Notamacropus eugenii: one gene and its partners. The protein of the gene in region 2 interacts with the protein of the main gene of each other region in a pairwise test. Links are inferred from orthologs where the notes say so. Each region holds a gene or a part of one and is shown on either strand. Other genes may lie near its edges. The genes, in order: ZMYND10, NUTM1 and P4HA3.

Region 1 (11,294 bases), on a different chromosome or scaffold from region 2:
GAAGGAAGGCAATCAGGAACTCATCCTTCCACTCCTTGAATATCTTCTCCCTCACTGGAATGGGCACCCACAAATAAGGGTTCAGTGTGATGAGGAATAGGGTTCCATCCCAACAGATCTGGGACCCTGGGCTGGGAAGAGTTCTTCAAGAATTGCTTTGTTTGTTTTCTAAAGTTTTAGGGGCCTACAGCAGGAAGGTTATCTGAGGACTGGAGCTCACCTCTCTTATCTCTCTCACCATCTTACTCAATATATCTCAAGGCTTTGATGAATAAAATACTAAACCCTAAGTTATTTTATTTGGGGGTGGGGGTGGGAAACGGAAGAGGATGGGCCTTGTATCCCAAACTGAACTCACAAGGTAACAACTTAAATTACCATCATACTTTCAGGTTTATAAGACATCTTGCTCACAGATACCCTTGGGGTAAGTAGTGCAGAGATGATTATTTCGATTTTGTGGGCTGATGAGGAATAGGCCCAGTGCCCCACAGGCCTAGCGATTTCTTGCATCCTATGAGGCCGCGTGGTGGAAAGACCCCTGACGGGTGGATTGGAGTTGGAAGCTTATGTTTTCGAACCCGGCTCTGCTCTCTAGGCCCAGAGTGACCTCCAGCAGGTCAGCCTTCTCTCATTTTCTAAGGTCCTGCCCAGCTCCCTGAGCTCCTCAGCGCTAATTATCTCTTCACCTTCTTCCTGAATCCAGGTCCTTGTCCTGACCCCCTCAGCCTTCAAGAGTTGACTCCTCTCACCTTCCATAAGCAGCAAGCTCTTGTTCACACTATCCTTATGGAAATATTAACTGAAAGAGCAAAGTACTGCATCTTAAGGTTTGAAAAGTATGCTGACACACGCCATCTCACTTGGCCTTCACCAGAACTCTGGGAGACAGGTATTATATTTTCTCCATTTTAAAGTGGAGGAAACCAAGGCTCAGTCTAAACATTCTCTAGACAGCTGAAACGCTGACTTCAGGCCTTTTCCTGGCTGGGGGTCTGCTCATCAACATCCTAGTTCCATTTTTACATTTGTGGCCACTGTAGCCAAGGATGTTGACTCTAGGAACTTCCTATACTTCGAACACAACAAAGCTCCTCCTCCTCTTCCCATTTCTTCTTTAGACTATATACAGCCTGTCCCAAAAGTCTTAGTGCAGTTTTACTAGCTTAAAACTGTGCTGAAATCGCTAAATCGAAGTTTTAGTTATGTTAGTTATTAAAATAAACTGCTAGTTTATTTGAGTGCGGTTTTAAGCTAGTTACTGCACTAAGACCTTTGGGACACTCTGTATTATAAAATGCCCCAAGATGACAAGTTACAAGCATTTACTGTGTCTACTACATCCCAGGTTCTGTGCTAAGGACACTTTAGTCTGAAGTCCTTGGTCCCACCTAAGAAGAAAGTCTAATCAATATTAGTTTGAAATCCTTTAAAATCTATTTTTCAAAGGCCTAACATATGTGTAAAACTAAACCTGGAAAGAACTAGGGCAGGATCCCCCACTGGATTCGGAGAGTGATTAAACTTAGAAAAGGAAGAAGGCTTTGACAGAAGTATTTCTTGGGCTCACCTCTGACTGGGCAGAAAGAATCCTGGGAGCCAGAGTTGGAGAGGGATTAAACAGTCCTAGGAAAATTGGCTAACACTGTCGTCGTGTTACCTGAATGCTGTGACCATGAGTTAGCTTTTATTGGGGAATTTTGTCTTTGTTTAGGAGAACTATAAATTTTAACTCAAAACGGGTGGGGGGAGATTTTCCAAGGCAGGACAGGTTTCTGTCCCTTTGGAGTTTCTTTAAAAAAATGCTTAAGATTACAATAATACAATTTGTCTCCAGCAGGCTTGCATCCCAAAATGTAGCTAGTGGTTTTCTTCCACATCATTCTCTCATTTTCCCTTTTCCATCCCAGCTCCTCACTCCAGAAGACAGAACTGGAGCGCATTTAGGGTTCGGGGGTCTTAATTCTAGGAGTTAGTCACAAGGGAAAATTGGAGAGAGAAGTGTGCAAATCAAGGGCTCAGACAAAACGTGATCCAGGGTAACCTCTGATGACTCGGGATTCCTAATCCATTAGGGATTGATTTTTTTAGTGCTCTGACAACTTTCCAGTCATTCCCAAGCTCCAGGATAGCCCTTTGTCCATCTATCTTCAAATCAGACTTAGTCATCATTCCATTCTTCTGGTTCAGAATTTTTCAACTTTCCAGATTTCCTGGTATTCCTCATAATTGCCGTTGTTAACTGCATTAGAGTATGCCATTATATTAATGTCCTGCAATTTACATAGCCGCTCCTCTAATTTATAAATTTAATGTTGGATATCAATTTAAGTATATTTGCTTGGTAATGATTATTTGAATTAATTTCAGTCTATGAAATGTCATGGTTTTTCAGCCATTTCCTCCATCTCCACCAGGATTTGTTTTGGCTCATTCTTGGTTCTGCTTTTTTTTGGGCTTTACAGAATTTCATAAAGGTCCTTTCCAGTTCTTTATGTTCCTTGGTCTTTTGAACTATAGTATTCTAGTACATTCATGTACCACAATTTATTTAGTCATTTAACATTCAGATTGCTGCGCCCCCGCCCTCCCCCCCCCCATTTTTTGCAATTACAAAGAGCGCTGTTGTTTTTGATAACACTTTCTGGGTTTCTTCATGATACGGATGGGTCAATGGGTATGACTAGGTTGCCCTCCAAAGAGATGCTCTAAGTTTGCATTTCCACCAGTGACAAATGGGCATACCTTTCTCCCCAGAAGCCCACCAGTATCGAGTTTAGTTGTTTTTATTTTTGGGAGTTTGATGGATGTGAGGTGGTTCCTCCAAGTTAAACCAATTTGCATCTCTGAATGTTAGTGTGGTTGAACATTTTGTTAAGTGCTTTTATTTTCAGACGGGAGTTTCTCTTGGTAGCACCTGGTAAGCTTTTCCAAGGGCAGAGTCAACCTTGGGGGAGTAGAGTAGACAAATGTACAACTCTGTGGGAAACCTAGCTGTGCAGAGCAAGGACAGACAGAAGAGATAAAATGCTGCTGCTTAGCTTTCTGGATTGATTAGAAATGACTCCCTGTCACATCCTCTCTGTTCCAACCACACTGATCCCTTGGCCATATAGTCCCTATCTCATCTGGGAGCCTGTGCACACAACAGAGGAACTTTGTCCTTCAGGGCCCATTTCTTTGTACAGGTTGTTTCACTCCAGTAGAATTCAAGCTCATTAAGGGCAAGGGCTGTTTTGGTCACACAGCAGGTGCTTAACAAATGCTTGATGATTAAGAAGGAAACCCATAGTTTCTTCAGTGAGGTTTAGTTTTTCAAGGATCTAATCCAGGTGTGGGGAACCTTCAGCCTCAAGGCCCCATGTGGCCCTTTAGGACCTCAAGGGTGGCCCTTTGACCAAATCCAAACTTCACAGAACAAATTCCCTTCATAAAAGGATTTGTTGTGTAAAACTGGGACTTCATGAAAAGGCTCCACCCAAGGACCTGGAAGGCCACATGGGGCCAGGAGGCCAATCCCTAATCCACCTTGTTATTCTTTAAAATTGGAGCCTGATCTCCCTGACTAGCTTACCTCATTCTGCCCATTTCCTTCACACTTTAAGTTTTAGAAAGCACTTACCTTCTAACAGCCCAGGAAAGTAAGTTTATAGATAAGGAATGGGAAGTCTGTTGTCCCACAGCCAGCTGTAGCTGGGAGCAGGTATTTGTACCCAGGTCTCTTGATTCCAAGTTTTTTCTCCCTTGTCAGAATCCTTACAAACACTTAAGTGTGTCTCATCGTACACTCACGCATACAACCGTACAACCCTGTTATCTCAGATGCTTACTGAAATCTTCTCTTGTCATTAAACATTTTTGTTATTTCTCTTCTATTCCCCCTCTGACATAGGACTGTCAACTCCTTGAGGTCAGAGACTAGGTGTTAGCCATTTCTTAGTACAGTGCCTGGCACACAAGTAGGTGCTTAATAAATGCTTATTCCCTTCCTTGTTTCAGGACAGAGCTAGAACCTAGCCCTTTTAGTCCACAGTTTCATAGAGATCTGGATGAGAGTTTATTGGCTCATAGGGTTTAGATCAAAAGGAATCTCAGACTAATGAATTTCCCTTCAGTAGGAAACATGGAGCTGGGCGCAGCAGGTAGAACTAAAGTAATTCTTACTAATTCATTTTGTTGATGGAAAGGGGAAAGAGTCCCCTTTGAGGTGGGGGGAGTGAACAGAGGAAAGAGAAGCACTTTCAGAGGCAGTGGGCTAGGGGCCTGAGCTCCCCTTTGGGTCATCGGATACATGATGTATGTGTTAGATGTCTTATCTATGTCTATATATATATGTATGCTGCAGGCACACACCCACACCTGATCTGAAGGGGCTAAGAACACCCCTCTCACATTAACATTTACCTCCATGGATCAAAGGGCCACTGGTGGAATTTAGGTGTCAGACACAGAGAGTCTGGCTTAGGGGCTCTGTCACACAGGTTGCCACCCTCCTAGGGAGGCCAGCCCGTCTACTTTGCCCTGAGCCCTCCAACAGGGAAGGAAGCAGACGCCTGCCTTCGGGAAGGGAAGTGAGTTACTCAAAGACCTTGTCCTGTGGTCAGGGTGGGGGTTGGGTCTGCGGCCCTCTCAGCACCTCCAGCACCCCGTGGGCTATCGTACCTTGCTGTAGGTGACCAGCAGCTCCTGGATGGGCTCTCCCTGGCTGGAGGAGGTGGCATCCAGTATGGCCTGCATATTCAGCTTCTCCACCTGTTCATGCTGCCGACACCACCTGGCCGGGCGGCAGTGTGGAGCCCCAGTGGGGGGGCTTGTGGGCAGGCTGGCCTTGGTGTCTCCTCCCCCAGCCCAGCCCAGCCCTCCCTGCCCCAGGACCCTCCACCCTGACTGCGCCGGGAGCGCGGGGTCACAAGCCCCGCACATCTTCTCCAGTGGGGATCAGAGCCCCCTCTGCCCCCGCCCCTCCCGGGGCGCCCCCGCCCTCACCCCTGGGAGCCCATCTCCCACAGCGGGAAGCTCTGCAGGGCCTGCACCAGGGCCTCGGCCTCTCCAGGCAGCAGCACTTTCAAGTCCCCCATCCTCGGCCTGGGGCGGGATCCGCATTCAGACGTCCTGCGGGCAGCGCTCGCTCGCGGGCGCTCGGTACTAGGAAGGCCGTTAGAAACCCTGGCGTCGCCGTCGCCAAGGAAACGAAGGCGACGCTCCAGCGTCAGGGCGCCGGCGCCCTCTGGTGGACGGCGCGGGGAAAGGCAGGAGACGGAGCAGGAGGGCTGACAAGACTCTTTATTGCCCTGGCCCCGGCCGCCCCCCAGCCCCGCAGGTGCAGGCGGGGGGCTCCCGTGGCCCCGCAGGTGCAGGGGGCCTCACTTCCAGCAGACGATGATGTTGGGGTCGTTGTCCAGGCGCTCGTCCAGCTCGCGGTAGCTCATTCCTAGGAGGATGTGTGGGGGGCAGCGGCTCACTGGCAGAGCCCCCCCTGCAGCTGCCCCGGCCCCCCCTTCAGTCCTCCGGGCCCCCCCTGAAGCCCCCCGGCCCCCCCTGCAGTCCCCCGGGTCCCCCCTCCCACCCCAGGGCCTCCCTCTGCAGCCTCCCGGGCCCCCCCCTGCAGTCCCCCGGGTCCCCCCTCCCACCCCAGGGCCTCCCTCTTCAGCCTCCCGGGCCCCCCCTCCCAGCCCGGGTCCCCCCTGCAGTCCCCCGGGTCCCCCCTCCCACCCCAGGGCCTCCCTCTGCAGCCTCCCGGGCCCCTCCTCCCACCCGTCTTGCAGCAGATCTCGTCGTAGCTGTGGCACCCCGTGTAGAGGCGGGCCGGGTGGCTGCGCTCCTCCGCAGTGATGCGCACCGGGTATTTCTGTAGGCGCCGCATCAGGTTTTTCATCAGCCCGAACTGGATCAGCTTCCTGGTGGGGGGTGGGAGGGCCGGGGGCCAGGGTCACCTCCCCAGGAAACTACTAAGGGTCAGCACCACTGACTCCGAGGCAGGTGACCTCTGAGAGGGCTGAACGTGGGGGAAACTGAGGCCCAGAGCAGGAAAGGTGTGAAAGAGTTAGATTTGGAAATCAGCAGCCCTGCAGGTGAGGCCCCAGGGTGGAGTGGAAGGTGTGCTGGGCAGTCCCCTCTTCAGAGCCTCAGTTTCTTCCACTGTTATAAAGCCTGCGCTGGCTATCAGCCAGGACCAATGCTGGATAAATACCACCAGCTCTGCTCCAAGTTTTCATGCCCTGATGGTCAAATGCCTTCCTGCCAGGGCTGTTGTGAAAGGGGCCTTCCCTAAACAAGTGAGGCACCCCTCTCCCATGTGTTCCTCTGGCCAATAGAGGCCCCTAGGCTTGGAGCCTTGGGGTGGGGGAACCCACTACTATCTCTGGTCCCCACTCCCAGCTCTGAGGTCAGGGCAGCACCCTCACTGACCTTTCATCCACGTGCTGTAGCTGTTGGGTATAGCGGCCGATGAGGTCCCGGACAGTGGTGCCTGGGCTGAGGCCACAGTAGAGCTGGAAGACATCTCGGAGGCTGGCTCGCTTGTGACCTGTGAATGGAGATGGAGATAGCAAGCTGGTGGCCCCTGTACCTGGGGCTCCTCACTATCATTCTGGGCCTCAGGGCAGTTTGAGGGGCAGTTGGGAGGGCATGGAATTAGCATTTCTTCTCTATCATTCTGGTAAAGGCACCTTTGCATAGTAGAATTTGGAGAGACCAGGATTTGAATACTGGTGCCAACACTTCTTAGTTGTATGACCACAGGCAAGTCACTTGAAACTCTGTGCCTCACTTTCCTTATCCATAAAATGGGAATACTACTGCTTATAGAGAAGTTTGTGAGCTAAGTGATTTTTGAACGTCAAAATGCTTTAGGAATTTCTGGACTGTTACCGGCTGTGGCTTCTTTAGGTTTGTCCAGAGACGCTGCTGTAAGGGAATCAGTTGCCCTGGAAGCTGTGTCTTTGCCCTCATCCTTCCCCATCTTCCCATACCTTGCTTGGTGACGTAGGCCAGACATTCCTCTTGTAGTGCCTTATCATCCACCAGGTCCTGAACCTTGGGTGTGGGGCAGTACACATTGGAATACTGGAGAGGGAAAGATGGAGTGAGGCCTAAGGTACCCACTGGCTCCCAACTATGAGTCAGCTACTGAATGGCTATGTGACCTTAGACAAATCTCATGCTTTTTGGGCCCCACTGTCCATTAGTAAAAATTAATACGTTAGATTGGATGGTCTTAAGGAGCCAATAAATTTGCATCATTGAAAAAAAAACCCAAACTAGGAAAGCTGAGTTCTAATCCTCAGTTTTGCCGAATACTGGCTGTGTCCCTTCAAACAAGGCCTTTCCCTTCTGGGCCTCAGTTTCTCCAGCCATACAACCAGTTCTGTGTCTGCTCTAGCCATGCACACAGGCCATTCCCCACTCCCACTGGGAATTCCATTTCCCATTCTTCTTATGCTTTTAGTGGGCACTATCATCTTGATTTCAGGTCATGCTCTGAAGTGGAAATCCTCTTCCATTCCCAAACACAACGTTCCTCCCTCTGTTCCCCTTCTTACCTGGAGGATGGATACCAGGGTCACCACCCCATAGTACCTGCAGGAGACACACCTCAATGAGCACCACCCCCTAGCTAAGGTATTCTCAACTGGGTGATAACATCTGTGGGGTCTCAACAGAGGGGGGAAGATCTAGTAAATGGGAGAGGTGGGGAGGGCAGATACTGGTAGTGCCCAGGTCTTAGTGCCTTTCTTTCCCCCATCCATCTCTTGGTCCTTGGCTCACTCACAACAGGTTCTGAATGGCAATCCTCACAAGATTGAGCTCCACATCAGCCTCAGCAGAAATTTTCTGGATGTGTCGAAAGCCATCGATATAGGGCAGGATCTAGAGAAGGTGGTCATGTCATCACTGAGTTCAATTTGTGTACCCCACTGCCCAGAAGGATTGAGAGAGAAGCTTGGCTGACCAGAGGCACCCTGAGCAGGTGGCCATACTTGCTGCGTGGTGAGATCCCACTGGGAGTTGAAGAACTCATCCTTGTCCTTGGTAAAAACAGGTACGTCATACTCCTGGGCTATGGGGGGATCAGGCCGCTGCTCAATGACCTTCAGGTGGATGGTATTAGATTCATCTGTAGAGGAAGATGACAGGAATTCCAGGAAGCCTTCCAGAAGGATACGAGGCTGCACACACATGATTGCTAAAGGCTTATACTTTTCAAAGCACTTCTGTATGCCAAAGTATGGTGCAGTAGAAAGAATGATGGCCCAGGAGGCAGAGATCTAGGTTCATACTGATACTCTATCACTAACTTGCTGTGTGGCCACAGAAAAGTCCAGTCCTGTTTCTTAGGTGGTGAAACCAGGGCTCGATAAGATTTGGGTTTTGCCTGCTTCTTCCTCTACAAAATAATGGGGATGGGGTCAGAAGAAGGCTGGATGACCTCTAATGTCTAGGATCCTGGGAGAATCTTCCCCCATTCTCTCCCCAGACACGGTAGAAAAGCTAGGGATGAAAAACCCCACTGCACAGGGAAGCTGATGACTCCAAAGGTACAATCACTTGGTAGAGAGCAAACATGGAGTTCTCTGCAGAACTAGCATCAGAACCAAGGCCTCTGGGGGCCCTTCCCTCAGCCCATCCTCACCAAGTTCACTGTCTGGGCCCCAGATTTTGGAGCTCCTTTCTTTTCTGGCTTTCTCTACTTACTTCAGTCTGTGACCTAACTTAGGACCTGTCCTTTGGGTGTCATACTCCTCACGGTGAGGCACACCCTCTTCTCCCTTCACAAAGCTTTGTGCCTATAAGGTGGAGTTCCCCGTGGCAGTCTGGGGAAGCCTACAGACCCCTTCTCAGAGTCACGTTTTTAAATAATCGGAGGAAATGGTAAATGTCTTTTACTTCTCATTAAAGTTCATGGATCTGCCGAAATCTTTTCACATATCTTTTGGGACTCTGTGTGGACAGTTTTGAATTCTGTTTTTATTTGGGCAAGAGTGTGCAAGCAGCCCTTCTCTGGAGGCTGGACTGGATGCAGGGGTCTTACCTATGGGCAGGGTGCATCTGCCTGTGGCATTGAGCTCCTCCAGGAGGATGGTCATGATGGGCACTAGCTTCTGTTTGCTCTCCTCTGTGGACACAAAACTGCTCTCCAGCTACAAGGGAAAATGTGATGGAAAAGGGGAGCTGCCATGAGGCCCATCAAGGTAAACAGCAAGCAGGGAAGGCAGATTCCTTGGTGCCCCATTTCACTCATGATTGGTATGGTTTAAAAAACTCCAATCTGCCTCTGACACATTTTAGTTGTTTGGCTTTGGGCAAATCACTGAATGTCTTGGAGCTTGGGGAAAGAGGGTTGCACTAAATGATCTCTGTTCCCTTCTAGCTTTAAATTCATGTTCACAGGAGCCTAAGTCTTTTCCCTGCCTGGGCATCAGTTTTGTGTCTAGGAAACAGTGGTCTTTGAGTCTCTTTCAACTCAATGAGTATGGAGTAGGACTTTGTGCCTCTCTCTACCACCCAAGCTGAGTTACCCTAGGAGAACCAGGACCATGGTTCAGTGCACTGGGGCTTGGGCCCCCAAGGAGCTGGGCATACCAGGGGCTAGGTGGGGCAGGTCCTGACCTCCAGTGTGGTGAGGTAGCCAGCCAACTTCTTAACTATGGGCTCCAGGGCGCAGGTTTTGGCTCGGGCATCACACACGAAGCCCAGATTGAAGAGCAGTGCATTTCGACTGTACTTCTTGTGCTCAATGCACACGGGGCAGCCAATCAGCTTCTTCTCCATGGCTGTCCTAAGCAGGAAGCAGAGTCAGCACAGAGGGGTGGGAGGTGCCTCTCTCAGGTCACCCCTCTCCCTTCTGGAAAACCTCTTACAGAATAGGAGAGGAGCTGGGCCTCAGAAGACCTCACTAGGTTTGTGGTTCAGGGCCCCTGTGATATTTCTCATTTGCCTCTCCTGGCAATACCTTGGTCCGGACCCTGCTTAGTTTCTGCCAAGGTGATTATGGTATTTCTAACTGTCTCTCGGACTTTAAGTCTCCCCATCTAACCAATCCTGCAGTCTGCCAGAGTGACTACTCGAGAGCTTAGCTTTGATCAAACCACTCTTTTCCTCAAAATCCTCTTCCCGAAAGGATAAAATATAACTTCCTTTTGCTTGGCATTCAAGAATCTGGGTGCAACCCATGCTTCCGCTTCATTTCACATCATTTCCCTTTATATATTTTCTGCTCCAGACAAGCTGGGCTGTTTCCTAGTCTGATTTTGCCTGTGTCAAGGAATGTACACACTCTCAACGTTCCACTCAAGGTCCAGATCAGGTGATACTTCTTCTGTGAAACCATCCTTGATTCCTCCCCAGTCTGTTAAAAGTGATCTCTGTCCCAAATTTTTCTTCCAAAAAGCATTTTTCTATTCAATAAACATCAAACACCTACTATGTGTCAGACACTGTGGATATAAAGACACTGTTAAAAAACTCCAACAGTCATGCCTCCAAAGAGCTTATATTCTACTAGGGGAAATGTGTATGTATAAGTAAGTGCCACATGAATGAAAAATAAACACCAAGGCATTTGGCCAGCACAAGCAACAGGGGAAATGGTGAAAGGCCTCTTGTAGGACATGGCCTTCAACTGAATTATGAAGGGAGCCCAGGGTAGAGCAGACACAGACAGGAGATGGAGCATCACCTTTAGATAGAAGCCGAACAAGCTAGTTTTTTGGCTAGAAGAGAGTGCATGAGGGCCAGTGATGTGAACTGGATATGAAAATACTGGCTGAAGGAAGCTCGTGAAGGACCGTAAATGCCACAGACGTACATATACATTTCTATTTAACTTTAGATGCCTGGAGGGAAGCCCTGGAGAGGGATGCGATCAGATCTGTGGTTTATAAATATAAACTCGCTACGGGGAGGAAAGAGGCTGGAGGTGGCGAGTCCGGTGGTGAGGAGGGGGGTGGGCGTAGTGGAGAGAAGGTGATGGCAGGCTGTCTAGTCCCGGGCTTGTCCCGAGGGGGGTGGAAGGCGGGGGGCAGACCCCTCCAAGTCTCCCTGGCGGACCCCGGCCCATCCCGGGGCTTACACAGTGATCAGCTTGTTCTGCAGCTCCGGCTTGGTGATGACGTACACCTGCACGGTGTCAAACAGCTCCCGGGAGATGAAGTCTTCGGGGACCTGGAGGGGCAGCCCCTGGTGGCTCGTGGGGGGCGGCGGCCTGGCCCCGCCCTCCGCCCGGCCCCGCCCCGCCCCGCCCCGCGCCTACCTGGTAGGTGATTTTGGGGCCCAGCGTGGGGTGGAATTCGCTG
Region 2 (10,357 bases):
GAGGGCATTTCTCATGCCTGGAACGCATACCCTCCTTAACTTTCTCTCTTAAAATCCTTAGCTCCCTTTCCAAATGAAGTCTTTCCTGATTTCTTCTAGCTGCTAGTACCCACCAACATTACTTTCGATAAATTTTGCAGCTGGATAGAGAAATAGTTATTGCTCTGGCCTGGAATCAGGAAGACCTGAATTCAAATCCTGCCTCAGATATGTGACCCTGGACAAGTCACTTAGCCTCTATTTGCCTCAGTTTTTTCAAGTGGGAAATAGGGATGATAACAGCACCTACCTCACAGGCTTGTTGTGAGGATAAAATATATATATAGATGTATATCTATATATCTCCTAGAATGTATGCCACCCTCTTGCGACCTTTTTTCCCTTTCAAGGCTGCCCTTGATGGTTATTTAAACTTGATCACACAGTATAAATAGAAGCTAAAGGCACAAAGTGTTTTTTGTTTACAGACCCTCATCCCCTTAGGAATATCCCTGTCCTGCTGACCCATTTTAACTGCTCTGCCTACAAATGAATGTGAAGGAACTATCTTTTTTCTGGGAAGTTGCACTGTGGCCCCTGACCTACCATCGGATATTTCCAAACAACTTTAGTCTATAATCCATCAGGCTTCTCCTGACTCTTCCTTCCAAGAATAAAAAGTCTGAAGGAGTCTACAAGCGTAACTCCAAAAGCAAGCACTCACATGAGGAAGCAGGAAAGCGCTTCTGCATCAGGGCTCCGGGGCAGGTGTCTCCGGGCCAGTGCCTTGTAGCGTTGCCAGCGACGAAAGTTCTCATAAACACCCTTGGAGGTGCAGGAAAGGTCACCCAGAGAGGGTTTGGGACAAGGTGGAGGTGGACCTCCCTCCCCAGGAGTCCCATCTGGCCCCCGCCAAGCCTTTTCTGGGGGTATAATTGGAGCTAGTTGGGCGGTGGGTGGTGGGGCCAGGGGAGGATGGGTAGGGGGTCCCTCTCCTTCACCAGCCTGGGCCACCCCAACAGCCTTAGCAAGAAGAATGGTCTTGACATTGGTGGCTGCCAGGAACCGGGGAGTGGGGCCTTCAGGGCCCCCACGGGGAGGACCTGGGGCAATCCAATTGAGGGCAGTCTGAGTGAGGATAAAGGTCTGAGTTCGGGGGGCTTCAGATGGGCCCCCCTCTGTCTTGACTTTGACGATGACCTTACCAGCCCCACCCCCGCTAGGGCCTGCTCCCCCATCCCCTGTCACCAGCAATGTACTAGGGAAAGCAGACAGAACCAGGGGGCTACCCGGTGGGAATGGTGAAGAAATGGGAGTTTGAGGTGGTGGCTCCCAGAGAGGCTTGTCTGATGGTCCTGGAGGGGGTGGGGGTAATGGAAGTGAAGTACAGGGTGGGACAGGGCCAGGCTTCGGGGTCATTTCAGGTCCAGACAATGAAGGAGCTGTTGAGAAAAAGGAGGGATTGGAGCAGGAAATGAGGCAGCTAGAGGCCTCAACATCTGGGGACCCTTTGGACCCTGATACATTGCAGAGCTGGTCCCCTAATTCATAGGGTAAACATCTTTACCAGTCCAATAAAAAAAAATGTCTACAATATCACTGACAACTTCTTTAAGGATATTCTTAGAAGTCTACCTCCACTGTGTGGTGTCCCAAGACATAGAACAGGGTTGACATGCAGGAGATAACAACTCAAAGTATGTCCCCAACTAGGAGGTTGAGCATCTGATGGGAGAATCTAGAATCTGGCCCTTCCCTAGGCTCCTTTGGTGTTCCTAAATTAGAGATCAATTGAGAGAGGTTCCTGGCCCTGTTTCTTCATTCCTCCCCTTTTTCATCTCCTTGCTCCTTTTTTTAAGTCCCCTATTCCTCTTCTCATCTAAAAGTACAATAAAAAAAGTTCTATAGCCATAACCAATTTATCCCTAAAACTCTCATTCCAATTAACAACTCATTCATTTCTGCTTATAGAAGTAAAATCAGAGACATTCCCCCTACTCCCAGCCATCTCTAGCCACTTAATAATCTTCCTTCTAGAATCTTCTTAAGGTAAGGAGGGGAAGCCCATACAGATTCCTAGAGATTCTCCACTCCAGAGGAGTAAAAACTAGTCAAAAGGAGGTAGTAGTAGACTAGGTGGATAAAAATGACAGGTTTTCTTACGCTTCAGAGAGCTAGCAGATAGACCCCGTGAAGTGTGGCAGTTGCTCCTAACACTGATTCTGATTCTCTCTATCGTTTACCTAGGTTATTCCTTCAGTAATGGAAAGGACAAGGGCTTTCAAATTAACAAGTAATTATTGAGCACTTCCGAGGCACAAGGCACTGGGAATACAAGAAAATATAACACCACATATAATACATAAGATGCCTTCTAAGGAGATGCCTCCATTTAATAATAACAAGAATTTAACAATCCACCTTATCCCACAAACGACGTGAAACTCACACACAGTTTACCTCCCTGACCATAAAATAAGATCATGGAGTCATGGATGATGGTAGACAAGCTCATCACTCTGATGACAAGCAGGGAAGGGTCAGGACATGCTAGCCATAACAGAAAGAGGGAGGGAACAAGATGAAATGGGTTAGAGGGCCTAGGATCCTAGGATAGATGAAACAACTCAGAGTAAATCAGTACTGCCTATGTTCCAGCTGTGGTTGAATAACTATGTATTAACCACCTCCCCAATACTCCCCAACCTTCAGCCCCTGATAAATGCAAGAAACAAGTTCCAGAAGTTCCCTGGGCAAACAAAAACAGAGGTTTCTAGGTGTCAAGGAAACTGAGGTATTCAACCCTAGGGCAGTTATTGTATTCTATATTAATCTATGGGGAAAGGGGGGAGGGGGTATTGTTTTGAGGTTCTCCCCAAGCCTCCTAGTCTCTTGGTAGGTTCAGGGCATGCCTCTGCAAAAGAGGACCACTCTGGCCAAATTTCTGTCAAAAGTCTTTTCCATCCAATTCCCTCTGTCCTCTCTGATTGAATATATCCCTGCTGAAATATCAATTTCTAAAGCAAAAACTTGGGAAAACAGGGTCTCTGCCAGAAAGAAGGACGTAAGTGTTAGACCTAATTCTACTAAGTCCTTTTGTCCTTCTTTAAGGTGGCTAATGCCTAGTGACTGGAGGCTTCTTGCCTATTTAAGTCAATCTGCTAGTGGGTCTTCTCTCTCAACTCAGAGCTCCCTGGCTCAGTTCCTCCAAGGCATCCCAAATCAGCTCTGAAGAGGCTGGCTCTGTGAACCCCAAGGCTCCAAACTGGTTCCCCAACCTCCCCGGGTCTGTTGCCTGAGCATGGGATGGATTCATTGGTCTGTCTTCCTCTTGGGTCCCACAGTGCAGGTCACAAAGGTGATCCCCAGGGCTACAGTCCCAAATTTCTTTCCCTGGGGCTCGAGGGGATAGGGGGCACGGATCTTTGTGAGAGGCCCCCAGCTCCGCTCACCTCCATCTGGGACTGGACCCTCTGGCTTGGGCACTAATCGGGGCTGCCTAGCAGCCTCCAGGATGGCACAAGGGTCAGGGCCAGGGCCCAGAAGGCCACCTGGTCACAGTAGCTGCCCAAGAATTGAGGGCAGCAGAAGGGAAAAGATTGAATCAAAACAGAACTGGAACCTGGAAACCCGTGCATTCTACGCAGTGGGGGAAGGGAGGGAAGAGTGAGGGCCAGGCCAGGGGGCCGAGGAATGTTCTAGGGAAGAGGGGGAGGAGAGCTCGGCGGGGAGGATCTGAATTCAGAACCCAACTCAGGCGACGACCCTGAATGGGCAAGCCACTCAACGTGGCCGGCCCCAGTTCCACGTCTGGGCCACGAGGCTGGGCGGGTCCTCGCCAGCTCTCCACGTGCGTGGTGGGGGCGGAGGGGCACCTTCCAGCCTCGTCCCCCCCGCGGCTCCCAGGTGAGTGGGCGGTGCAGGTCCCCATCTCCCACCTCCGAGCGCAGCGCCCCTCCCCGTGCACCTGGCCGGGCCGCCTCTGCACCCCCGGAGGGTGCGGCGCAGGCCTGGGCGCCCCGGCCCTCGTGCCTCTACTTACCCCCTGGGCGAAGGGGAGCCAGGGCCTGAGCTGGCCTGCGCCTCCATGTTCTCAGCCGCACAAGATGGAGGGCAGGGCCTGGCCGCGGCCTGGGCACCCTCGGCGCCTGGATTTCCTCGCCCCTCTAAGGCTCTGGGCGCTACTTTTCTTCCATGGGACTACTTATTGCAGTTTGCATGCAGGGGAGGGATATTCAAGTTCTGGGTTCAAAAACAGCGGCCTCTCCATCCCTGAATGGGCTGTGGCTAATGGCCTCCCCTGGCATTCGAAGCCCACTCCCTTCCCAACTTCCAGCATAGGGATGCGCTCCCTAGTGCAATCCCAGGGCGAGGACTCCCCCTTCAGGAGGGCAGGAGGAGAAGAGGAGGGGACTACACCTCCCAGCATGCCGCGGGGGCTCTACTTCCCGGAAGTGTCCCTGGAACAAACACGTGGTCGGGGGGTGGGTCCGCGCTCCCGGGCCAAGGCGGAGGTGGAAGCCTGCTTGTGGCCGAGTCTTCCCGTGGCCTGCCCGCCTCGCGAAGGGAATTGGCCGCCATGTTTCTGCAGTATTACCTCAACGAGCAAGGGGATCGGGTCTACACCCTAAAGGTACGGAGAGGAGGCGCACTTGGGGGGTGGAGACGCAGGAGGGAGCTCCGTTCCCGCCCTGCGCGGCCGAGCTGGGCAGCGGCCTGTGTAGACGCTCTTACCGGCGGCTCCGTCGGGCCTCGTTATTGTTTTAACGAAGAAGGAGCCGAGGCCGAGGGAGGGGAGCGGCCGGCCCGGGTCACTGCCTTGTACCGAGAGGGTCGTGTAGGGAGAAGAGGAGGAGGACGGAGGCCGAGGCGGGCAGCCTTCGTTGTGCCCGGACCCTGTGCTTGGCGCCGGCATAGAGTGTAAAAAGAAGAGCCCCCCCCCTCCAGCGGGGACCCCCCGTGGTGATTCCGGGGGGCGCTGCCGGGGGACTCGGGGCTGTTGGGTGGGGTTTGCGCTTGGAAGGAGCTCGCTCCCCACGCCCAGCCCTAAATCCCGCGGAATTCAGCGTGTATCCCAGACCTTGTCGTCTGAGTATCTCACCTCACAGTCAGCAGACTTCATGAAGACCTACTATGCACAAGGCTGTGGGAAACAGAAGGAAGGAAAAGGTTGTCCCTGCATACCCTCGGCACCCACAGCCTAGGGACCTAATCGTCCTTAGCCCAGGTCTGGTCTGTTGGTCAGGGTAATGCTGGGGCTGGGGCGAGGGGATGGATGAGGAGAAATAAACAGCTTCGTCCTCCCTGCCTGTCCGAGTCTTTTCGACCTTTTCTCTGGTTCTGCTCCAAAATAATCAGTAAACCTACTGTGCTAAACACTGGGGATAGAGTAAGCTGTACCCTCAAAGAGCTTACGATGTGGTGAGGGAGACAACGTAGACAAATATATGTGTGTGTGTGTATATTTATAATGTGTGTATATATATATATATGGCAAGCTATGTACAGGATAAATAGGAGATAACAAGGAGGAAGGCACTGCAAGTAAGAGGGGCTGAGGAAGATTTTCTGTAGAAAGTAGAATTTCAGTTGGGACTTCAGTAGGTAGTGTTCCACCCATGGGGCATACCAGAGAAAATTCCTGGAGCCAAGAGATAAGAGTGCCAAGTTTGTCAAATAGCCTGGAGGTCAGTATCACTGGATCAAAGAATATGTGGTGGGGGGAGTAAGGTATAAGAAGACTGGAATGATAGGTAGTGGCTAGGTTATAAAGAGTTTTGAATGCCAAAAATGCGTTTTGTATTTGATACTGGAGGCAATAGGGCTACACTGAAGTTTGAGTAGGTGGGTGATGTGATCAAACCTGTACTTTAGGAAAATCACTTCATAGCTGTAATAGGGGCCTGTACTAGACTGGTGGCAGTGTTGGATGTGAGAATTCACATTCGGTTCTCTTTGTTCTCCTAACAGAAAACAGACCCTGCAGGACAACAGACCTGTTCAGCGCACCCAGCCAGATTCTCCCCAGATGACAAGTACTCCAGACACCGTATCACCATCAAGAAGAGATTCAAGGTTCTCATGACCCAGCAAGCACGATTGGTCCTCTGAATTACCAAACCACCCAGGACTCTGGCACAAGAAGCTTGTCCTACATCTAGGAGACCTCATTCAGGAAGAGCTTACATCTTTGACTCTCTTAACCCATTGTCACAAGTTTAAAATGACGCCCTTTGTACACTTGCTTCTTAGAATCTAGCTGCAGTTTGCCTGTGTTCCTCTCTGTACTTGGTAGCAATCAAGCTAAAATGAAAGTCTAAAGTTGCCATATCTTTTTAATCAATGTTGTAGGCTATTAAAACTGAAATGGTTTAGAGATCTATTTTTCCTTTTTAATTGGGGGCAGAAAAGTCTTTGAATTGATCAGAGGAAGCCAGGTGGCTTAGTGGATAGAGTACTAGGTCTGGAGTCAGGATGATCTGAATATATTTGTAAAAAGGTATTTAACACAGCACCTGGCATGAAGTAGCTATAGAAATGCTTATTCCCTTTTCTGATCAAAAAATAATATCCATTTTTATTATTGTTTTAGAATACTAGCATGTTTGCATTGGAATTCAAAAGTCCTCATTTTCTTCAGTAAAAATTAATCAAATTGGACTAGATGGTCTAGTTTCTTTTATCTCTAAATTCTTAAGTCCTGTGGATAGTCTTGAATTCCTTCCCCTCTATAGTGACACTGATATTCAACATAGCACACACAGCAGTGCCCATGAGAGATGTCTTCTGAATGGACTGAGTGACCAAAGAGGTTATCTTTGTCCTAAGGAAAACCTTTTGTACACCTTAAGGCACCAGGCATGTGTGGGCTATTATTCTCTGGAGTCTCACAGTTTCTCCTAATTTCTGAACAGATTAATTTTAACCAAAGAATCCTCTGAAGCTCAGATCAATTTAAGAGAATAGCCACACATTGTGACAAATGTTTTCAGGTTGAGGGTTGAACAAGTAGAAAGATTAAAAAATTAAGTTTTAATATTCTGATCAATCCATGTCTGACGGTAAACAACAAAGATTTACCTTAGGGCTTTGTGGTAGAACCCCAAAATTCTTGACTTTATTTCCCTCTCTCCCTTTGCATGTAGGGAAACCCACAAGTGCAAATGTCTTTTGGGAGGTGTTAACCTAAAGAAAACTTAAGCACAGGGAGTACAAGGAAACCTCCAGGAGCAGTAGAGTCATACTTTGAAAAACCTAATTCTTTGTCTGTTTTTCTGATGGGGTATGGTCTAAAGTCTTTTTTATTAAACCAGGAGATCTTCCTCTCACTGTTTGTAGACCTCAAGACAACCCACTGTCACAGTCAAAGCATTAGATGGTTCTTTTGAGGAAGACGATGAGGTTAACAAGTTGACCTAGTCTTGCAGACTGTGTCTTCGCATTTACGTCTTATAGACAAAAGGATAACCTTGTTGCTTTTCTGCACTTAGTGAAGAATATTTGAGTCACTCCCCAACAGAAAATATGAAGACACAAGTTTTTTGACTATCCTTATTTATCCAAATTCTTGAATTGAATGGTTTTGCCTCCTGCCAACCCTTTGTTAATCTCCCAGTTCCTCAAAAAGTACCCAACCTTGAAAGTGTATGTAGGTGAGAGTGATGACTAATACTTACTGAACAATAGGAGGTTACTAGGTAGCTCAGTGGATAGAGTCCTGTGCCTAGAATCAGGAAGATTTGAATTCAAATACAGCTTCAGACACTTCCTAGCTGTGTAACCCCTGGGCAAGTCACTTAATCTGTCTTAATCCGCTAGATAAAGACATGTCAAACCACTCCAGTATCTTTGCCAAGAAAACTCCATGGGTAGTATAGGAATGCTATATGGGGTCACAAGGGGTTGAATGTGACTGAAACACTGAACAACAACTAAAACATGATTGATGTTTGAATTAGATCTCTGAAGTGAGAACTAGGAAGGGAAGAAATAATTCAGGTAAGAGTGCTGATGAGATAGATTCCTATAGGGAGCAATGGGCGGCTAATAAGTGAAGAAACAAGTGTTGATAGTACTAGTGGGCATGAGGGAGGAGGTACTTAGAACTCATTGGTAACCTTCAAATATTAAGATGATGGATATGCCAGCACAATAAAATTAGGCTGAATGTACTGAGGTGATGTTTATCAGGTCTCCAATGGTATCTGGTCACATACCATCTGAAAGACCCAAACTGCTCAGGAAATCAGTAAGCACATATTAGGCTCCTTGTATATGCTAGGCACTGTGCTAAGCATTAGGGATAAAAAGGAGGAGGGGGTAAAGGCAATATGATGGGAAGCATGCTCAAAAGCCAGTATAACCTGACTGACACTGGCTATGTGATCTGGAGCAAGTTACTTAATGTGTCTCAACCCTAGTTTACTCAATTGTAGGATGAAAAAGTTGGACTCCATGATCTCTAAAGTCCCTTCCAGCTCTTAAAAACCTACGTTATTAAGTCCTGAGGAATTAGGCTTTATCCTTTCTACCAAGTGGTAGAAGTAGTTCCTATCCTGGAGAACAACTTTTCCAAAAGAAGAAAACCCTAGACACTGGGCTGCAGAGACAAAAATGAGAAATATTTCGTACCCTTAAGGAGCTGGAATCCATGCATGTAGTTGCAGGTGTTAGAATAATCTTTCAGTTTCCTTTCAACTTTAAGTTAAAGAGATACAGCTTGCGTGTTTGTGTTGGTCCAAAATGAATCTGCCACTGATGAGAAAATTGCTTTGTGAAGAAAAAGTATAAGAGGATTGTTCCAATTTTATATAAATACATAATTTTATGTAGTTTTATAAATCATAATATTTTATATATTAATTAGTAAATTATATAAACATATATTTTTTTCCCTGAATCAAAAATTCAGACCTCAAACCTGTTTTAAACTGACTGTCTCATAAATTCTATTGCAAAAGGATAGAAAATCCCCTCTTGGATCTCACTTCCTGACCAGCTCTGCCAAGAAGCTTTAGGAACAGGCAAACTACCCTTCAGTCTTTGAAGATGAGAAGGCAAGTTGCTGAAGTGGATCAGAATAGGTAGTGACATTAGGGATGATGACTTGAGTTGGGGACTTTTATAATTTAACCTGCAAGCAGTGAGTTCTCAGTTTTCTAGTTGGAGACTTTGCTGTGATCAACATGCTTGACTTTATTTTCCTCATACAAAAAAAACCCAGGAATAATGCTATCCTATATTTTTTCGTGGGGACTTTTGTATAGATACTCAAGGCTTTTCCCCAAAGTATTCACTTATATAGAGTAGCAGTATACTTTTAGATTATGACATCTGCAGAGTTGGGAGGAGGCAACTACGTTCAGCTACGTTTTTTCAAAAAGGAAAAAAACCCTAATGGAAATGAATTTGTATATATGTGTACACATAAATATACACTATATGTATGGCTCTCTCCCTAGACTATCTCCCCAACTTGCAATCACAGTTTGGTTTCTCTGGAAATAACCACCTATTCAAAGTACTCCATGAGTCTGCTCCTTTTGAAACTACAACTCAAAACTCAAAAAAAAAAAAAAGTGTGCTTACTTGTAGTCAATCAGAGGAAATGAAATGACACAATAAGGACAGTAGCAATTTATCTCATAAACCTAGAGCATTCAATTTCATAAATCTTAAACAGGAAGAGTAGATGTCCATAGAGTTCTAAAATGGAGAGGCACATATATAAAGGAACACGTGGCATGTGCAAGGACAGGGAATTCATGACTAATTCTGCAGGTAACAAGTCTAATAGTATTCATCTACATTTGGATACCAATCAGTTTATAATCTATTGACACAGCCTTCAAGAACCCTATGTGCTACGTATACGTATACCCTATATACAGAGTAGATATGTACATATCTATTTGGTCTAGACCTGTGATTTCTTCTACTTAGGTAACTGCTGGTGTAAAAAGATGTCTCCACTGGTGCAGGATCAGCAACAGGCACATGGCATTGTTCAGTCTCACCTGATCCTCAGTGACCCCATTTGGGGTTTTCTTGCCAAAGATGCTGGAGTGGTTTGCCATTTCCTTCTCCAGTTCATTTTACAGGTGAAGAAACTGAGGCAAACAGGGTGAAGTGATTTACTATTTGAATTCACAAAGATGAGTTCTTGACTCTAGCATTCCATCCACTTCACCACGTAGCTACAATTAAATTGAATAGAGTATGAGATTTTGGGGAGCAGTATCATTTTCCATTTCCATAGTCCCACTGAGAGGCAGTATAGCATAACAAACTTATAGGTGTTATGGAGTCAGGAAGACTTCATGTACTGCCTGAAACACACTGACTTCACATCAAGTTACTTAACCTGACAATGTGTCCC
Region 3 (10,634 bases), on a different chromosome or scaffold from region 2:
TCCCTTTGAAGCCCTTTAATGATGGGGAGCTCACTACCTTTCCCACTCTGCTTTTGTACAATTCTCATTGTTAGAGAGAATGTTAGGTTTCTGTGTATGTATATATATATATATATTTATATTTATATGGATTATATATAATATTATGTATATACAATATTCTATATAAATAAGATTATAGAATACATACATATATATTGAACCCAAATCTGCTTCCCCATAACTACTAGTCAGTGCTCTTAACTCTGTCCTCTGAAGCCATATTTAGTTTTAATTTATTAAATTCAGCCCAATCTTTTAGCCTGCCAACATCTTTTTGGATCCAGTCTCTGATACCCAAGTATAAAACATCACATTTGGCTGAACACAAATTTGTTAAGTACGAGATAGAGAGGTATGGCTAGACAGCAAGTCAAGTGTTGGGGGGGTTTTAGTGTACTGAAAGCTCCATATGAGTCAAAAGGAAAATATGGCAGTCCAAAACCCTGACACAGTCTTAGATGGCATTGAGATACCCAGCATAGAGGAGCAGGGACAGCATACAGGACAATCCTGCTGGGTCCTTCAGCTAGAGTCTTGTGTTCAGGCTGAGAGTTCCTTTCTAGGAAGGATACTGCAAACTGGAGCATGTGCAGAGGTTAACCAGTATGGATGAGGGTCCTCAAGACCATGTCATCTGGGGACTGAATGAAACAACTGAGGATGTTTAGCCTAGAAAAAAGATTTAGGGTGTGACATCTACAGGAAAGAGGGAATAGGCTCATTGTTTGACTCCAGAACCAGAGCCACGAATAATGAGTTCAAGTTGCTAAGAGACAGATACCAGTTAGATTTAAGGAAAATCTTCCCAATGACTGGAGCTATACAAAAGTGGGGTGGGCTGCCTCAGGAAGTAGTGACAACTGGAGACCCACTTCTAAAGTACACTGGTGATTCTTTTTCATGTTTGGGGTGGACTAGAACTGGCCTCTGAGGTTCCTTCCCTTTCAGCCGGTATATGATTCTGTGAGTGGGTGATGAGCTGGTGAAAGCAGCAAGTGTGGACCTCTTATAAGCACTGTCTGTTTGCTTAGCAGTGTCTGGCATGATAGTCAGCACTTAACAAATGTTTGTTGACTAACAGACTCAAGAATAGATATGGCAGGTCCTGCTATCAAGGAGTTTACAATCTAGGGGATTTAGAAGCAAATATGTACTTTCTGTGTATTTTGTGCTACTACTTACTAAACTCTTATTTGTACTGTAGTTATGTATGTCCATGGATGTGCTGGTAAATGTTTAATAATTAGCTCCTGGGGAGAGAGGAAAACAGAAACTTATAAGTTTAACAGTAGAATATAATATTAACATTTTTCCCCACCCCTGGTCTAGACTCTGCTGAGTCCTGATTTGCCAATTTCCAAAGTAAAACCGGGTGGTGTAATGGATAGAGAACTGGGCTTAGAATCAGGAAGCTTCATCTTCATAAGTTCAAATCCAGCTGTGTAACTCTGGGCAAGCCATTTAGCCCTGTTTGCCCCAGTTCTTTACCTGTAAAACGAGCTAGAGAAGGAAATGGCCAGCCACTCCAGTGTCTTTGCCAAGAAAACCCTAAATGGGATCATAGAGCTGAATACAACTGAAAGGACTGAACAACAAACTGCAAATGCTCACGCTGAAAATTTAACAATGGTGCTCTCAAAAGCTAGTATGAACTGGCTCCAGTCTGTTCCTACTGGGTGCCCATATCTGAGCTACCTACTTGTATCATAAGAAAAGAGATTCAGAGTTGAGAGTCACCCTGGGGATCATCTATTCCAACTCCCTCTTTTTACAGATGAAGAAGCGAAGGCCACAATGGTTAAATGGTTTGCCCAACGTCAGACAAGTCAAAAGGGGCTGGGTCAGAGTCTGAACCCAGGTCTTCTGATTCCAGATCCAGTACTCTTTCCCAGACATCACACTGATCCTTAAAGGCAGGAACTATGTCATTCCTCTCCCTGTCTCTGTCTCTCTGTGTCTGTGTCTCTGTCTCTGTCTTTGTCTGTCTGTGTGTGTGTCTCTCTCTCCAACAGCACCCAACAGAGTGCCTTACAAAAGGCAGGTGCTTAATAAAAGTTTGTATAAGTTGATGCTGGTGGCAATGGGACCTTGTAGCTGGGCAACAGCAGAAGTGGGCCAGGCTGTGTGTGGAACAAGCAGGTCAGGCTATACTTGGGATAAAAATAGCCTATTTATGCAGGAGCTTTGATTCTCCATAGAATCACAGGATGTCAGAATAGGGGTGGGGTAGGGGAGGGAACTTAGCATGTTGATTATTAGAGTTGGGCTCAATTAATCAATCAATAAACACTTATTAAGAGCCTACTATGTGCCAGGAATTATTCTAAGTGCAAGTGATACAAAAAGAGGCAAAAGACACTCCCTTCCCTCCAGGTGCTCACAATCTAATTGGATGAACCTTAAAATGCAGGATGTCCAAACTAGACAGAAGATAAACTCACACGTATGTAGTGCTTTAAGGTTTGCAGATTGCTTAACGTACATTATCTCATTTAACCATAGAATTTCAAGATGGGAGGGACCTAAGACACCATTTATTCCCACCTCTTCCTTTTACAGATAGGGAAACTGAGACCCAGGGAGGCAGTAATTTACTTGCCCAAGGTCACACAATGGTAGAGGTGGGACTAGTTTAGTATTAGTACACGTTTAGTATTAGTCTTATGGGATCAGGCTTAGTATTCCTTTCCACTGCTCTAACTTTGGGAATTAAAGTATGTTTTCTGACTCTTTCTGTACTTGGATCCACAAAATACTGGAAAAATATTCTACTTTGAAGAAATTGATAAAAGTAAAGCCTGTGGGAATATGGAAGAAAAAAATTTTTTTAATTTCCCCCACCATTACATCATCATCAAAACTACCATTATCATTTATTTTTAAGGCACATACTCATGCATATTTTATACATGTAGATAAACTATGTCTCACACATACACATTAGCTAACTGACCAAAAAAATGCATCATTCTTCTTGTGTGCAGTCATATTTGGTTGGATACCAATGTTCAGCTGTTCACCAAATCACAAACAGAATCTCACTCTTCCTCCCATGTGTCTCACAGTCTCAGTCTGTGTCTGTCTGTGCCTGTCTCTCTCAGCCATGGTGTAAAACACAATCATTCCAAGTCACAGAGCTTAGTAGTCATTGGGGACTGGTGTCAAGGTCACAGCCCTGCCCCTACAGCATCACACTGTGTCATTTAAGATTTTTCTGGCCCCACTCAGTCTGCATAACCCACAGTGCTATACATTCACACAGGGCAACATCGACTCATTCAGTGTGATCCATACAATGTCACATACTCAGTATCACTGGCATGCAGAGTAAATATTAACACGCCATCCTTCACACATACATACACCATGCCCAGCACACAGGGATGACACAAACATAATTAATACATGGTCTTAATTCAGGCTTTGGTTTAGACTTGTGATTTCATCAGTGTAGGGATCTCCCAGTAAGGAAATTCACTATACCAATGCAGATCAGATCTGTAACTGCTTTGTGTCTTAATTTTAGAAAATTTCCTGGGGCACTAATGGGTTAAGTGATTCACCCAGGGTCACCCAGGCAAATCCCTGAGGGATTTGAAGTCAGGTCTTTCTGACTGTCTTGTTCTCTATCTACCACGCCACACTGCCTCTCCTTTATACAGAGCTGGCTAAGAGTCTCAGTCCTGCAGGAGCTCACAGCCCATCATCTGGGTTTCTCTCCTTCATCTATTTGTTCTCTTTCATACAGTGTGAAACCATAGTGTCTCAGGGTCCTGTGTCTCACACAGGAGCCCAGTCCACTTTACTGAGACAATGTTACACATGCTACCTCGCAGCACCAGGCTTTCTACAATATCACATGCTGTATCTCAGGAGTGACACAGAGTTCCTTGGCACATCCTGGGTCTCAAAATACACACCCCTAGCTCAAGAATAGTAACAGTTGGTTTTTCTATAGTGTTTTAAGGGTGGCAAAATGCTGTACACAGTCTCATTTGATACACTCAGTCGGTATCACACACTGGGAGTGTCCTAAGCAGCCACAGGGGCTGTGAGTTAGTGTCCAAAGTGTTCCCTCTCACACAAATACACAGTGTCACACACGGAGTGTCCTAAGTAGCCACAGGATCGGTGGGTCAGGATCCCGTGCGCTTTCACACACAGGCGCACACACACACACACACACGCACACGCGCGCGCACACACATGCACACTCACACGCACACACACTCTCACACACACACTCACACTCACACACACACACTCACCCCAGCCGGCAGCTCCTACCTGCGCAGGTCCCGCAGACGGGCCTCCTCACCCCGCACGTAGCCTTCCAGCAGCCGCAGCAGCTCCCGCTCGGGACCCAGAGCCCGCTCCACACTCTGCAGCGCCGAGAACTTGTCCTCCCCGCGGCCCCGGGGCGGGCCGCCCCCCGCCTCCGTGGCCCGAACCCCAGCCCCCAGCTCCAGGGCGGGCAGCACCGGTAGCACCAGCAGCACCAGCGCCGCCGGGGGGCCCATGCCGCCAGGGGCTGCACTGCCCTCCCAGCGCTCTCTTTCCTCCCTCTGCTCCCCTGCACTCTCCGGGCTCCCTCCTCACATCTCTCCTCCTCTGCTCCTTGCCTCTTTCTTTCCCCTCTCCTCTCCTCCCCTTTCTCTGCTCCACTCCCTCCTTCCCTCTTCTACAGCCTCTCTACATCCCCTGCCTCTCCTTTCACACTTTCCCTTGTTCTTTCCTCTGCTTTTTCACCTCCACCACTTCATACATTCATCCTCCCCATCTCGCGGTCTGCTTTCTCCCTTTCTCTGCTCTCTTTCTTCCTTTCTTCCTTAGTTCCCTTCCCCCTTCCCTTCCTCTTACCATATAGCTCTGCCCCTTCCCCGCCAGCCCCCCTTCCCCTTCTGCCTGTTTCCTCCCCCACTTCTTATATATACATTTATCTTCCTGTTTTCCCTCTCGTCCTCTCCCCTACACCACTCTTCCCTCAGCTCTTTCCCCCTTATCGTTCTTCAACTCTTTCTCTTGTCTTTCTTCTCTTTACCCCACACCCTTCTTTTCTCTTGAGTTCCCATCACTTTGGTTTTACCCTCCCACCTGGCTATATCCCCTTCCCCCTTTTCCCATTAGGCTTTCTTCCTTTCCCATTGCTCCTTAAACCTCAACTCTGAAATTGCAGAGTGCAGAGGGAGCCTTGGCTGGGAGACAGGAGATCCGAATTCTGATCCCAGCTCTGCAGCCAGCTCTTTGTCCAGCCCTGCACAAATCCTTTCCTCCACCCCGGCTTCATTTTCCTCCTGGGTAAAATAAGGGGGTTGGAATAAACGATCTCTTCAGGTTCCTTCCAGGCCTGACATCGAGGCCCCTTACAGTTCTGAACATCCTAAATCCTCTTTAAGGAGTCATTCCAGCCTTTTCTCTCTCTAATGCCAGATGATAGGCAATGTGGTGCAAGGCACTAGATTTGGAGTCAGAAAGAGACCTGGGCTCTAATCCCAGTTCTAACATTGACTAGCTGCGGGCCCATGAGCCAGTCACACAATCTGGAGCTTCTCTGTCCTTACCTATAAAATGGGGACAAGTTATACTTGGAGTACCTGCCTTCTGAAAAAGGTTATAAAGAAAGTAAACTCTGTAAATCTTGAAATTATATCTAAATGAGAGTAGAAAAGAATATTAGGTTTAGAGCCAAAGTTAAACTTGGAGTCAAACTACCTTTGAAACTTTGGGCATTCTGAGCCCCAGTTTCCTCATCTTTGGCATAGGAGGATTGGATTACATAACCTCTAAGGTCCCTTCCAGCTTCAAGTCTGCATGGGTCTGTATGACAGCAAGATCCCCTCCAGTCCTGACAGTGATCCTGTATATTGTCTGGTAGTAAGCTTCTCCCTTAGAGAGGACTGGCATCTACAGGAAAAAAAAGTCCTAGGTACAGGACGAAAAGAACTTTCTTGGTGGTGTTCTCGGCCTGTCCTAGTAACTAACCTATTTAGTGTTTTTCAGTCTTCACTGGAGAGGACAGTGAAGGACCATGGAATGTCAGAGCTAGAAAGACCCTTAGAGATCATCAAATCCAAACCCTTCATTTTTACAGAGGTGGAAACTGAGGCAGATGTGAAGGAATCTTCTTAAAGTCACACAGAAGAATCAGAAGCATAGTCAGGGCTAGGACTTCTGGCCTAAGGCACTTGCCATTCTCTGGCTTCTTTCCTAAGTACTTCCTCAGAGGAAAGCTTCTAGTTAGAAAATACCTTCTTTGCTAGAGTCAGGATTTTGCCCGACTTTTTTTTTCTTTTCCTCTTTCTTCTCCAGTGAGAACTCAAGAGCCACGCTAAAGTAACTTCATCTTATCTACCTTATACTCCTGTTTGTCAGGGAAGGTCATAGGAACCTTGAGATTTAACTGGAGGAAGCAACTAATCCAGCCTTGTTATTTTACAGATGAGAAAAATGCCTGGAGAGAAGTAACTTGCTCAATGTTGAACAAGTGGTAGGACCTGGATGCCAACCCAGGTCTTCTGATTCCACATCCAGAACTCTTTTGACAGTTCCATGTTGCCATTTCTAAACAAAAAGACCAGCAGGGGGAAAAGTGATTCAGTCATCTCTAACTTTCCGACCCCGCCTAGGATTTTCTTGGCAAAGATAATGGAGTGCTTTGCCACTTTCTTCTCCAGTTCATTTTGCAGATGAGGAAACTGAGGCAAACAGGGTTAAGTGACTTGCCCAGTGTCACAGGCCAGATTTGAACTCACAAAAAGGAGTCTTCCTGACTCCAGGCCTAGCACTCTCTCCACTGTGCCATCTTACTGCCCAGAAGATAGCACTCCTAGCCCTTATTTTGGAGAAAAATAAACCAAATTTGCAGGGAATAGGTGGGGAAGAAAGTTCTTGGAGAGGGTAGTGTTTAGGTTGACAAGACTCTGGTTCTATGTTTCTAATGCCAAGAGTGCCCCCTGGTGGAGATTTGGAATGTATGGCCTTCTTGACAATTTTCTCTTATTTCCTCAGTTTCCCATGGTGACACTTTTCTAGTATTGTATCAGAACTGCCCTACCATGTTTCACTGAAGATTGCACCATTTGTCTTTTGTTTAACAGTGAAGACTGATACCTGGAACCTATTTCTAGGTGAGGCAATTTAATTTTCTATTTACTGAGCCTGTGCCTTGTGGTTAATATTGTGCTGAGTAGGGGAAAAGACAAGACATAAAAGTCTTTTGTCTGCCATTAAGCACTTCCACTTCTGCTGTGGAGACATGAAGCTGGTCTCCTAAAAAGTACTAAGAGGCAGGGAGTATAGTGGAAAGAGCACTGAATTTGGAATAAGCCCTGGGTTCCCATCCCAGCTGATACTAGCTATTTATTTGACTTTGGGCAAGTTACTTTGCCTGAGCCTCAATTTATTCATTTATAAAATGGGAACAATACTTTTACTATACCTCACTAGCTCTCTTTAAGACTCAGCTCAGGAACTACCTCTTTAAACAAGGGGTCTTTCCTAGTAATCTCCCCAAATCTCTCTCTCTCTCTCTCTCTCTCACACACACACACACACACACACACACACACACACACACACACACACACACACACACCTTACTTAGATGAGGATGTGGTAAATCCTACTAGTAGAATGGAAGCCCCCTGAAGGCAATAATTTTTTTCACTTTCACTTTTTTCTTTGTATCCCCAGATCTTAGCACGGTGTTTAGCACATAGTAGGAACTTAAAAAATATTTAGATCAAATAAAGATAAAATTTAGATAAAATAAAGATCAAATTAAATGATGTAAGACCTCCCCCCACCTCAGTTCCATAGCACTTTATGGTTTATGATGTGAAGTTATTATTCATTGTTATCATTCCTAGATCGGAAACCTGGGCATCTGGGTTTTGCCACTAACACTGTGTAGTTCCTAATTTTTACAGAAACTCAGACCTACAGAGGAAAAGGGACCTGTGCATAGTCTCAGGGTATACTTGCCCACAAACTCAGAGGACACCAAAAGATACCATGTAATAAAGTGCTTCATTTATTCAAAAAACCTTTGTTGAGAAACATTGCGTAGAGAGCCCTGACCTTGGCCTGGGGTGGGGGGGAGTGGGGAGAATAAGATGAACAGATGTAGTTCCTGCCCTAAGTTCTTAAATTCTATCAAGAAAGATGATAATATTTCCAAAGAACTTGGTTAATTTTTAAATTTGAACTTCCTTTTGGTTTTTGTACTTGACAAATATAAAACTTTAGTATTTCCATATATTTATAAAAAAGAAAAAAGGGTTGTATATGAAGCCACAATTCTCTATTACATGTAGCTTCATTTTTAAAAGAACACATGTAGTAAATTTATGTTAGTTTCAGAGTTGTCCTCCCTGTCTTCTGAACTTCCCTCTGGAACTTTGTAAATCTTCTAGCATGATCCTGAGAGGCAGGTAGTATAAATATTTCCCATTTGGACAGATGAGGAATGTAGGCTTAGAAAAGACAAATGCCTCAATTTTAATTTAACTCAATAGCTACACAGTGTCTACTATGTGCAAAGCCCTGTGATAGGCAGGAAAGAGACAAAGATGAAAAACCAACTCTGCCTTCATCTTCCTCCAGTGCTGAGTACAAGAAAGTTCTGCACACATGCTGAATGAATCTCTTTCAACCTTAAAAAACAAAAGAGGAAAACTGAGGCCCAGGGATAGGGACCAATTTACCCTCATTTGGGGAGGTCTCTTTAAAATGATTGAAATCCTTCCCTTTCATTTGTTTTCAGTGACCGTAACATTGTATACAGTACTCATATATTTGTCAGTGGATGATAGATGAAATTGAAAGGAACCAGAGAAGTCGTAACACTTGGAGTCTTTGACAGGCCTGCTACCTGACCTTTCACAAATTATTTTCCCTCTCTGGGTCTGTTTCTTCCACTTAAAAAATGGAGAGGCGAGGAGTGGGGGGTGGGGGGGAGAGACAGAGACATAGAGACAAAGACACAGAGGCAGAGACACAGAGAGCAGAGACAGAGATAGACTGAGACAGAGAAAGAAAGAGCGACAGACAGAGAGAGAGATACTAAAGTTGCTAATGCTTTGTCTCCTAAAAGATGCTTTCTACCTCTGATCTTGAGCCTGAGACATTGATAGGTGGTTGTGTCCACCAGGTGGCAGCAGGAATCTAGGAAGTCTGATCAATTGCAGTAATTAAGTTTACCTTTTACTGCCCCTTCTCTACTTCCCAATTTGCAAAATTTCACTCCAGCTAAAATGATCTACATACACAGTGGTTCCCACCCTCAGCATTACTTTAGACTCCTTTGTGTTTTCAATGCAAAAATCCCCCTAATCAGCTTGTGCTTGACCACTGTAAAATACCCTCCCCAACCCAGCTCATTCCATTACTGGGAGCAAATTTCCATTTCAATTAAACCTAAATTTGCTTTCCCCTTCCCCCACTTAGCCCTAGGTCCCAGAAATATAATAGGCATATGTCTTAAGAGCACTCCAGGTCATAGGGACCCGCACCCCACCCCCAACCAAAGTTAGCAAAGGCAAAATGGCTAGATGGATTCCCTTCAGGCCCCTGAATGGAGCATGGGATCCAGAGCAGTAGTTGGCTACTGGAAGGGAACCCCTCTGGAAGAACCTTTCTGCAGTGGTATGGAGGTGACCCTGGGCTCTCCAAAGGTATGCCAATGGAGCATAAACAATGGCAGGCACTATCAATCTGGAAAGTCTTTGAGTGGATTGTGGTCTCAAAAATAGCCCCGGCAGTGTTATTTTATCATCAGAAAGGGTAATGTCTTTTTTTCAGTAAAAGCAGCTCATGAAAACCAGCAGAGGAACAGACTGAAATGTAACAGGGAAATATTTAACAAAATAGAAAAATACAATAGAACATAATATCACATTTGAAAACTAAGTCCATATGCTACCCACTGGGATCCTTATATACACATTAGTGGCCCCATTTTTACGTGAATTTGACACTAGAGCTTTTTATCAGTGAAGGGAGTTATACTGACAAATTCATGAATCCTTTAAGTATTGAAGGTCTGAATAGTGGGGAAAAAAACTAGAATAGGCTTTGACAGTCATTATGTTCTTATGTTATTATGTTCTTCGGAACATGATGTAGTCTATATTTTAGGGAATGGGAACAGTGCCCGTGTCATTTCTTTGACCTTCTTTGGGCAAGCATAGGGTTGGGGAGGGGGAGGAAGAAAGTAAATCATTGGGTCGGAATGGCCAGGACATCCCAAAACCTATCACGCCACCATCAGCAGCTTTTTGATCAGCTGAGATTACTTGGTTTAGAGAAAGGAATGTGGTCCAGCATGCCCAAATCAGCAGGGAAGTCCTGGTCTAGAAAACAGCATTATGTTTGAGCCACAGAAGGAAGATGGATGTTCCAAGTCTAAAAAGAATCATCTGCTAATCTTGGCATGGGTAGCAGTTAAAAATGGGATTAAAAGACTCAGCTTTCAATCTGAATAGTCTTCTTTTACACATTTCTTTCTTTTTTTCTTTTTTTTGTTAATTTCTTTTTAGTTTTGTACATTCACTTCCCCTAAGTTTAAAAATTTTCTCCCCTTCCCTCCCCAC

Evidence for each region.
Region 1: the proteins of NUTM1 (region 2) and ZMYND10 interact in binary tests that used the Homo sapiens proteins (3 or more experiments, as listed by UniProt). The two-hybrid records come from large-scale screens. The link is inferred for Notamacropus eugenii from reciprocal best matches to the Homo sapiens genes NUTM1 and ZMYND10.
Region 3: the proteins of NUTM1 (region 2) and P4HA3 interact in binary tests that used the Homo sapiens proteins (3 or more experiments, as listed by UniProt). The two-hybrid records come from large-scale screens. The link is inferred for Notamacropus eugenii from reciprocal best matches to the Homo sapiens genes NUTM1 and P4HA3.

What each region holds. Positions count from the first base shown.
Region 1 is NC_092872.1:4,967,961-4,979,254, reverse strand, and holds the start of ZMYND10 (zinc finger MYND domain-containing protein 10), read right to left. Parts: upstream 5,236-11,294; 5' UTR 5,079-5,235; coding exon 4,987-5,078; intron 4,775-4,986; coding exon 4,663-4,774; intron 1-4,662. Other genes in the region: GATOR1 complex protein NPRL2, read right to left, coding at 5,364-5,431, 5,755-5,897, 6,409-6,526, 6,972-7,065, 7,542-7,578, 7,772-7,869, 7,980-8,116, 9,032-9,140 and 3 more. UniProt on the Homo sapiens protein: Plays a role in axonemal structure organization and motility. Involved in axonemal pre-assembly of inner and outer dynein arms (IDA and ODA, respectively) for proper axoneme building for cilia motility.
Region 2 is NC_092878.1:17,207,121-17,217,477, forward strand, and holds the start of NUTM1 (NUT family member 1), read right to left. Parts: upstream 4,134-10,357; 5' UTR 4,022-4,133; intron 3,802-4,021; exon of another isoform or gene 3,432-3,801; intron 1,422-3,431; 5' UTR 1,399-1,421; coding exon 704-1,398; intron 1-703. Other genes in the region: NOP10 (H/ACA ribonucleoprotein complex subunit 3), read left to right, coding at 4,559-4,612, 5,950-6,090. UniProt on the Homo sapiens protein: Plays a role in the regulation of proliferation. Regulates TERT expression by modulating SP1 binding to TERT promoter binding sites.
Region 3 is NC_092876.1:130,972,212-130,982,845, reverse strand, and holds the start of P4HA3 (prolyl 4-hydroxylase subunit alpha-3), read right to left. Parts: upstream 4,891-10,634; 5' UTR 4,563-4,890; coding exon 4,330-4,562; intron 1-4,329. UniProt on the Homo sapiens protein: Catalyzes the post-translational formation of 4-hydroxyproline in -Xaa-Pro-Gly- sequences in collagens and other proteins.